Linked DNA regions of Zea mays. The protein of the gene in region 1 binds, or shares a complex with, the protein of each later gene. Links are inferred from orthologs where the notes say so. Each region holds a gene or a part of one and is shown on either strand. Other genes may lie near its edges.

Evidence for each region.
Region 2: 7-hydroxymethyl chlorophyll a reductase, chloroplastic (region 1) and uncharacterized protein LOC100272914 share a complex: the UniProt entries of both Arabidopsis thaliana proteins name them as parts of the SGR1-CCE-LHCII complex. The link is inferred for Zea mays from reciprocal best matches to the Arabidopsis thaliana genes HCAR and ACD2.

Annotation. Positions count from the first base shown.
Region 1 is NC_050096.1:206,310,740-206,315,293, reverse strand, and holds the start of 7-hydroxymethyl chlorophyll a reductase, chloroplastic, read right to left. Parts: upstream 2,953-4,554; 5' UTR 2,849-2,952; coding exon 2,637-2,848; intron 2,530-2,636; coding exon 2,445-2,529; intron 1,966-2,444; coding exon 1,857-1,965; intron 1,604-1,856; coding exon 1,519-1,603; intron 1,421-1,518; coding exon 1,379-1,420; intron 1,165-1,378; coding exon 1,086-1,164; intron 671-1,085; coding exon 619-670; intron 524-618; coding exon 461-523; intron 368-460; coding exon 270-367; intron 52-269; coding exon 16-51; intron 1-15. UniProt on the Arabidopsis thaliana protein: Probable iron-sulfur flavoprotein that converts 7-hydroxymethyl chlorophyll a to chlorophyll a using ferredoxin as a reducing equivalent. Catalyzes the reduction of a hydroxymethyl group to a methyl group. Belongs to the chlorophyll catabolic enzymes (CCEs).
Region 2 is NC_050096.1:144,516,441-144,520,663, reverse strand, and holds uncharacterized protein LOC100272914, read left to right. Parts: upstream 1-1,357; 5' UTR 1,358-1,369; coding exon 1,370-1,750; intron 1,751-2,497; coding exon 2,498-3,115; 3' UTR 3,116-3,273; coding exon of another isoform or gene 3,274-3,277; 3' UTR 3,278-3,506; downstream 3,507-4,223. UniProt on the Arabidopsis thaliana protein: Catalyzes the key reaction of chlorophyll catabolism, porphyrin macrocycle cleavage of pheophorbide a (pheide a) to a primary fluorescent catabolite (pFCC).

The DNA.
Region 1 (4,554 bases):
CAAACAAATATTTACCTCTTCAATGTGCCCATCTAAATGCTTTAGATGCACCTGTAAATATTCTCAGTTATACAATGTGATCATACATAAAAAAAATCTAAGGAAAATCATGGCAATTCTGTAAATGCCATGTGTTCTTGTGTTGATCCTAAAACTGCTCCTTGAGCTGTTGATATGGAAAACTGTATTCCTATCCTATTGATTATCCATACATGAACCTACCAATGTGGGAAAAAGAATGTATGCAGCTAATTATTTCAATGTCATACCTTATAGTCTTGCATAAATTCATAATGCATAACAGTTTCTGGCTCACTGCTTGCCGCTTTCAAGAATTTATCAAGCCCTTCACGCGTACCATTGTCAACTAAGAAAAATACAGTATGTTAGAGCTACAATATTATCTTCCACGACAGAAAATGTAAATATTGACTGGTTTGAGAGGAGAAATGGAAATTACCACAGTTTGTTCCAAGCACATAAAGCTTTTCCAAACCAAGGTACTTTTCTACAGATCTCAAAGCTGTAGTTCAAACAATAACTTTAGCAACTTTTACTTTTACATTTGATAAAACATCAGCAATAGAAAGAGAAGAAAGGCCAGGTAAAGGAAAAGACCTTGCACTTGACAGCCCACACCGCAGAAAAGAAGCCGCTTTACACCAGCTGCCTGCCAAAGGAAACTGTGAAACTCTCTGGATTTATAAACTGGTCACTATAGGATATCATATGTATTGTTATGGTTGGAGGGATGATTGGAATAGGCTTTGGAACCCACTAGAATGTGGGGCTACTCCAGATTTAATAGGCTAATAGAATTACATTTGCGGTCTTGCCAAGCAACAAATTCAAATATAATTGAACTACTTCTAATTCTCTTGAATTGGGAAATGGGAACGAATATCTGGATCAATTAACCCTAAATTAATATTAGGACAGCTGATTCTCTCTGACTCTCAGAGATCTGCTGATATGACCCATTATTACTTCTATATGTTATAAGAAAGGGAAAGGAGGCATGGCACCATAGCTTGCATCAAGAATAAGGGGGCATGGGAAGTATAGAGTTAAAAGGAGCGACTTACCTCGACTAAGGCAAGTGTATTGAGATTTGGTGATAATGTTGGCTTCACACCTTTGGCTGCAATTACTTCGTCTGGTGTCCTACAAGAGCATGGCTACTGAGATTAAATGTCACTTCCATTCTAGAAATCAAGGGACATAATGATTAGCATGAGTAATTCATGGATGGACTGATAACAAAAGTTTAAGCTCAAAATAGTTACAGAAAGTCTGGAATTGCAAAAGTATATCCAGTCAAGGAGTGTTATACACAAGCCATAAAGGACAATTCTGAAAGCCATCAGTTTCACAATACCTGGCCAAAACAGGTCTTGGAGCAAGCCTGTCGTCAGGATCACTGCAGAGGGGGTAAAAAACATTATTTGAATCCATGTGGTAATGCTTGTGCATAGCACTGAGAAAGAATGATGTGGCATTTGATTCTTGTTTGGGTGCCTTTGTACACAAACCACAGCATCAACCATGTTTGCTTTCAGCATCTCGACAGCGATTGTTGTCACTATTCCCGTCCACTGGGCTCCTGTTGCATGTGAGGCACATATATGTTACAGGGTACAAAACATAAGTCGTCAGGGTACAGTTTTGTCTAACAAAGGTTTGTTGAGTATATCAAGATAGTGTAGGAAATAAGATGCAACATTCGAGGTGTATGTGGTTTCGGTTTGTTATGGAAGGGCAGTGAACAAGACTGGTATATTGCATATGTGTGCTTCCTTAGATGGATGCAGGCGGTTGTTGAAGGATAAGAACAACTTGTAAAAGGTAATTAGTACCTTCAACAGGTTCGGTCTTCCTGGCATACAAGAGTTGGTCATAGACTCCAAAGTACATTTCATCCATGCCTTCCTTCCGGCCTCTCCCGTGGACTTGTCGCTCAAGATCCTAAATATAGTGAGGAGAGTGTTGGCATCTGTAAATTTGTGTCAACTTTTTTTAGGAAACAGGAGAGTTCCCCGCTTTATTTCACTGAAACAAAGTGTAGAATTCATGTCGAGCATTACTACTCCCTCGGTCTAAATTATAGTTCACTTTAGCTTTATTCTAAATCAAAACTTCTTTTAACTTTGACTTGACCTAAGTATTTTATAAAAAAATATACTCCCTCTGTATATGTTCAAATAAACTATCAAGACATTTTTCACGAAGAAATTGATGAAATCATTTTGATATTGTAGATGGTCTCTATGAACTTGGTCAGAGTTAGAAAAGTTGAACTATAACTTTCGACGGAGGGAGTAACTGCGTGCAGCACTGCAGCCCATGGCTTGATCAAACATCAGACGATCATTTTTGTTTTCATTCAGCAAACTGTTTGAGCCGTTCTAGGCAGGTGATGTGATGCGAAGATGAAGGGAGGTGACCTCGACACGGGACATGCCGTCTCCCAGGAAGGCACAGGCAGTCTTGACATGCGCAACGTAGTATGTGTCGCAGAGCCCACAACGGCTTGAATCGCCATACGAGTAGAAATAGGAACAGAGGTAAGCATCGCATATTCGCATCACATAAACACACAAACAAACAAAGAAATGCGCAGCACAGCAGGCATATACCTGCAGTGGTCCTTGGCAGGGTAGACGGCGCCAGGAGGGATGGGCTTGGATTTCTGCCTCCAGTCCTCCCTGACCGCCTTGGCCCTGATCTTGCGCGTTCTCTCGGACCTGGAGGACGAGGAGGAGGCGAGGGAGGGTCGGCGGAGTCCAGGAGACGAGGACGAGGGCGACGAGGCGTGCAAGCAAAGGGAGAGGGAGGTGCTGGAGGCCATGGTGGCGGAGATCGTCTCACCTCAGTACCTCACCGGTGATAAGACGGAGGATCGAGTGGAGATGGAGGAGTCATGCCTTGAGCCTTTAAGAGAAACTACTGTTACTGGGCCACCTCATGAATTTCGGCTCATGTCCACCCTTTGAGGAAAATTCGGAGCCTGCAAAATGTCCACCCATCGATGCATAGTGCATCTTTTTGGTTTTCATATTTAAAAATATTCAAAATTCAACACTATACCCCGGATAAAAAGTTAACAGAAATTATGCCGCCCATATATGTATTTTTTTACTTCGTAGTCCCTCCTTTTGGTGGGACGACGATCCGTACTCTTAGATTGTCTTCAACACCTTACTCATCATATCTCATATCTCAACCGCTATTTTAAACTTAACTCTTATAAACAGTAGTATACAATATAAAATAATTTTTTACGCGATCATATATATGACTAGGTTCATGCCCATGCGTTGCTACGAAAGTAAAAAAAATAGTATAAAACATAGATACGAAACGATAAACAACATTATGATATGCAAAATCTATGTGGCAAAATATCACTGTAAAACTATTATATTGGCGAGATAAATATGTAATCTTATTATAGCTAATTGCACGTGCGTTGTTACGGTTTCTATATATCAAACAATTAGACTTTATTTTAACAAATCACGAAAACATGTGGGTTCTGTTGGTTAGATGAAGGTGGATGTACAACAAACAAATATTCAAACCACTACCTATTGATAGACTTTGTTTTACAAAACACAAAATATATATCTTCTGTTGGTTAGATGGGTGTGGATGTAAATCCAATAAAGGCCCAAACTACTATTTATGTGTAATTGTACCTAATTTTTGCATAAAGTAGTAATTTTATCTAATTTTTTCATAAAGTGGTAAAGATGACCACTATTTATGTGTAATTGTACCTAATTTTTGCATAAAGTAGTAATTTTATCTAATTTGTTCATAAAGTGGTAAAGATGATCTACGTTGAAACCAGAAAAACTAAGCATTCTTTTTTGCCTTAGCAGAATCTATCAGCACACATCACGCGATTCCAGTCCACCACGTATATATGGAGCAATAGCTTGCCAGTGAACTCATCTCTCGCATGTTATTTCACTCTTCAGTTTAAAATCTGATAGATTGTTTGAGCTAACTCGAGCTCTGCTTCAGATGTTTTGTAGTTAAAATCTGACACGAGACATATATCATATGCAATGGGCACAGATTCTGAATCCTTCCATGTGTTACACATTCTCACAGCGAAGCACAAAACACATGATGTACAATGCACACAGATCTCCCAGGTAGCTAATGACTGCAGAATTTATTCCTGCAACTGAAAGCAACCATTTGTCCATCTCGGTGTGCAGCAAACACATTTGTTCATAGGCGTCCCGTTGCGCGACCACTTGATCCTCATAGTGAAGTAGACCTTGGCAGCGGCGGCCTTAACAATGGTGACCCTAGCCGAGATGAGCACCTTGGTCTTGATCCTGTCCACCTTCACGTGAGGCGGCCCTCGCCTAGCATACCTGACACCGTGGCGTCAAACCACAACTCAGAGACAACGGGAACTCGTAGTTGGTATTCTCGCATGGGAACATACCCACAGGGAGGTTGTGCTAAGCAGGTCCACCAGTGGCTTCTGCATCTTGCCCTTCAACTTTTTCACCAGCCATTCCACTCCATCCCCGA
Region 2 (4,223 bases), about 62 Mb from region 1:
GCGAGGAGTAGGACACCTTTGTGGTGGTTGCCGAACCTCGGGTTAAATCGCATGTTCTTGTGCGTTCTTGTCAAGTGCCTAAAATTGTTGGTTGTTTTATATTCATTTATTTGAGTGGATTTTCTGTAGGGAAAGTCATTAGCAAAATCTTTCACTACTTCGTCATATTAGTTTAACTGATTATTTAATCTAAGTTGAGCAGGTTCAAACTTGTTCAGTTGTAAACAAAATCAACTGAACCGGTTTGCACCAGTGCAACTTTAATTTGACATATCTCGAAGTTTTTAGTGAAAAATTTCAGGTGTAGCCTATTCACCCCCTCTCTAGGCTACTTTCAGTGACCTGTCATGGACCGTCATCGCTGTTCACGTTGCAGAGCCGAACCCAAAGTATTGCTCGTCACGAGAAGTGACTAGGCTTCATTGGTGTTTGGTTTTAAATAGATGGTGGTCATCATAGAGGTGGTGTACTATAAATCAGCGATAGAGATAAAGTTCAAGACCGCATCCGAGATAGTGTTATTTATTTTACATCTTATCTACAATCTCGCTTCGGTCATTAGTAATTGGCGCCCAAATTAGGTCCAAGACACTCCTTCACACATTTTGCCTTTTTAAACGCAATAAAAAATATGGACCTTCCGATTTTCCGAACTATCCTCCAAGTTATTAGAGTTAATAGATAATCGTGGCTGGGCAAAATACTCGTGGCTCGTGAGCTCGCTCGACTCGTGGCCAGCTCGGCTCGACTCGACTCGGCTCGTTTCAATTTTATCACGAGCTGAGCTAACATCTCAGCTCGGTTCGTTAACGAGCCAGCTCGACACGAGCTCGAGCCAGCTCGTTAGCTCGAATGAGCTAGCATTTATCTGTAAAACAAAGCCTATACTTGTATTAGATGAATTAATAAGTGATGAACTATGTTAGTTTACGGTTTAGATGATGTGATATATAAAATTATGAGTATTGTTAGTCTTTTCTAGTGTTAAATTAGTATGAAATTAACTAGCAATTAATTATATTGTTGTATATATACATGTATAATATTTTTTGTTCTGGCTCGCGAGATAAACGAGCCAGCTCGAGCTCGCAAACGAGCCGAGCCGAGCTGATTCTCTGGCTCGGTTGCTTAACGAGCCGAGCCGAGCCAGCTCGTTTCCTTAACGAGCCAGCTCGAGCTCGGTCGAGCCGAGCCGAGTGGCTCGATATCCACCCCGATAATCACGTAAATTCTTTTTTGTGCGTGCATTGGCGATAGCGCTGCCTCCTCTTTGTAGCTGCTACCTGCTAGTTCTCACGTCACTGTAGTCTGTAACGTCGTCTTCTTACTCCCCCTATCCGACGCCGGGACAGGAATCAGCTTCCCCTCCATGCTCCGGCTGGAGCAATATCTCCGGTTGCTGCCGGCGACCAGCCACGCTACAGCGCCCGCGTTGATCTCGGGTTACTCTTTCCTCTCCAGTCCTCTCCCTCGCCTCAGTGCCCTCCGGCTAGCCCGCTCGCGGCCTCCCCCGCTCAGGGGCAAAACGTCGAGCCCCGTGCGCGCCTCGGCGGAGCCGGATTCTACGGTAAAGCGCGCGCCCGAGATGGCCCAGAGGGAGGTGGCGCGGGTGGTCGCGGATCAGGCGGTGGCGCGTTTGGGCGCGCGGCTGCTGCCGTCCGCCGTGCCTGCCGACGTCGTCGAGTTTCGCAACGCCGCCGGGAACGCCGTCGGCTCGCTCGACGTGCAACGGGGCTCTCCTGGCTCGTCGGTACAGTTCAATAGTGATCCTATTTTTTTTTTTCTTGTGGTAGTACCGTACCATGTTAGTATAATACAGCTTTCGTGTGGTTGCATACCAAAAGATAAGGGCATACTACTATACTGCTCTGTGCGTAATACGGTTATGGGATCTCCAGTATGACTCGGAATCGGCACATCATGCATTCCACCATTTTTCCTTGGTATATAGTACTCAAATACACACATCACCCCATATATGGCATCTGTATTGAATACCAAAAAATGGCTTGTGTTTCAGTTCAGTATGGTTTGGTGCACTTGCTGACCGCCTACTTCTCGCCAATTGGATAATTGTTGTCCACTGATCCATTCAAGGTGAATTGTCAAAGTTTTAGATGGAAATATTGCTAATGCAACTCTATCAAAGCATCTTGTCAATTGTAGGTTACTAACAGTTCTCCATTTGAGTCCCTTAGATTATTGTTGTGACTTGTGAGACTGCCGAGTTCCAGATAAAGAAACTGGCAATGATCCGTCCCGTGATTTCCAAAACTTAAACTGTAATCGCAGTCCAATCTGAATATCACTGTCATATATGTTGTTGTCCTTGAGCTGATAGTTCAATCTTAATATGTGATTTCAGTCATTGAAAACAGCAATGTCGTCGAGGATGGAAGAAAGCTTGCATTAACATGCTTCCTGTTTGCTACTGCTGTAAGATGTAGTAAAAAGAAACGATGACAGGACCTGATGTGCGTTTCCTCCTTGTCTACAGATTGATTTCATGCTGCAGTCCTCGCTTCACTGTGAAGTCCCGAACGGTGCCATTGACATCACCTCAATTCTCATTTTCCTGAACGCCTCGACGGACGCACCACATTTCCTACTGGAGCTCATACAAGGCAGCTCAACTTCAATGGTGGTGATTCTGGACCTGCTTCCACGGAAAGACCTCGCGTTTCACCCGGACTACCTGCAGAAGTACTACGAGGAAACTGGAATGGATGAGCAGCGCAGAAAGATCGAGGAGCTACCGCAGGCTCGTCCATACAGATCTCCGTCACTCTTCGTGCGCAGCGCATGCTCGCCTACAGCAATAATGGTGAGCATTGACTGTGGACAAGGGGGTGAGAAAGCCTTGGAAGAGATAATACATGGACAGTTAGCAAAGGTCATTCAGGAGGCTCTTCAGACTTGGCTTGACAACTGTGTTGATTCCACCATAGAGATGGATGAGGCGGAGAGGGACTGCCTGCTCAAGAGGGACCGGATTGTAAGGTCGAAATCGATAGAGGTTGACCTGACTGCAAACCTTCCCAGGATGTTTGGTCCGGATGTGTCTAGTCGGGTCATAACTGAAATCCGCAAGGCCTTTGGTGTACAAGAGCCGTAAGTCGTTCATAAATACAAGCATGTAGTTACTTTATTGTAGAGAAAAATTGTTGTGAGTCCATGAAACCCCCTTATTTGAACAATCGAAAGTATATGTGCTAAAGTTGTGTATATATTACTACCAAGTGCTAACTGAGATGATGAAAGTGAGCTATGCAGGTGAAGATGATCAGTTGTTAGGACCAGGTTTCCAGGAACAGTCTCTCATCACAGAGTTCCTAAGCCGTTCCTGTCTTCCTGATGCTAACATACCCAATAAGCATAAGAATTAGCTCTGCCTAAAAAGGAGGTACTGAATGGCGGTGTGTTTTGCTGCATCTTGTTTTATGTATATAAAACTTTGGTGTATATGGTGTACATATTAAAAAAATATCCATCCATGTTAGATCTACTATCCTTTGCCGCTGTATGTATTTTGCAAAGAACACTCTCCATCACCATTTTTCGCAATGTTCGGATATGGCATCATAATAGTATTATGTGTACCTGATATGTTCAAATGACAACTACAACCAGGTTGTTCCGTGTTCAAGCGAAACTGTGGCGAGCTAGCATAGCAGCAGCCACTCCTGAGCTCGGATGCACATGATGATGGTAACAAGTAATGTTCGATAATATCGGTCCTATGAAATTTGTTTTGATCCCGGAGGGGGGGGGGGGGGGGGGGGTCAAACAAGTAGCTACTGTCTTGTGCGTATCTGGACGTTGCATAGTTCGTGACGGCCGTTCGGGTTTATGCATTTGCTGGACTTTACATCAGTAACTTTTGGACTTTGGCGATAGGATGAAAATCTGTTTCAGAATGAAATTCACGTATGTATACAATTGTGCACGATAATACGTCAAGGAAATCCCTGGATTAAAACAAAGTGACACGTTGCGGTGTGCCTCATTGCATGGACGAGTTTTTCTCTATTTTTTGAATTGAATGCGTGAATTCAAACATTCAGCTTAAAGTAGTAAACTAATCAGAGCAGTAAAATGTTTGAGGATAAGATGTCCGAGTATCTCATCTTCCAAGTACAAAAGGAAATGAGAGTTCCAGCCGAAATGAGTTCATAGTTACTTTGGGATTGTCATGACATTGGATCCCGTCTTCCTCCTCACAG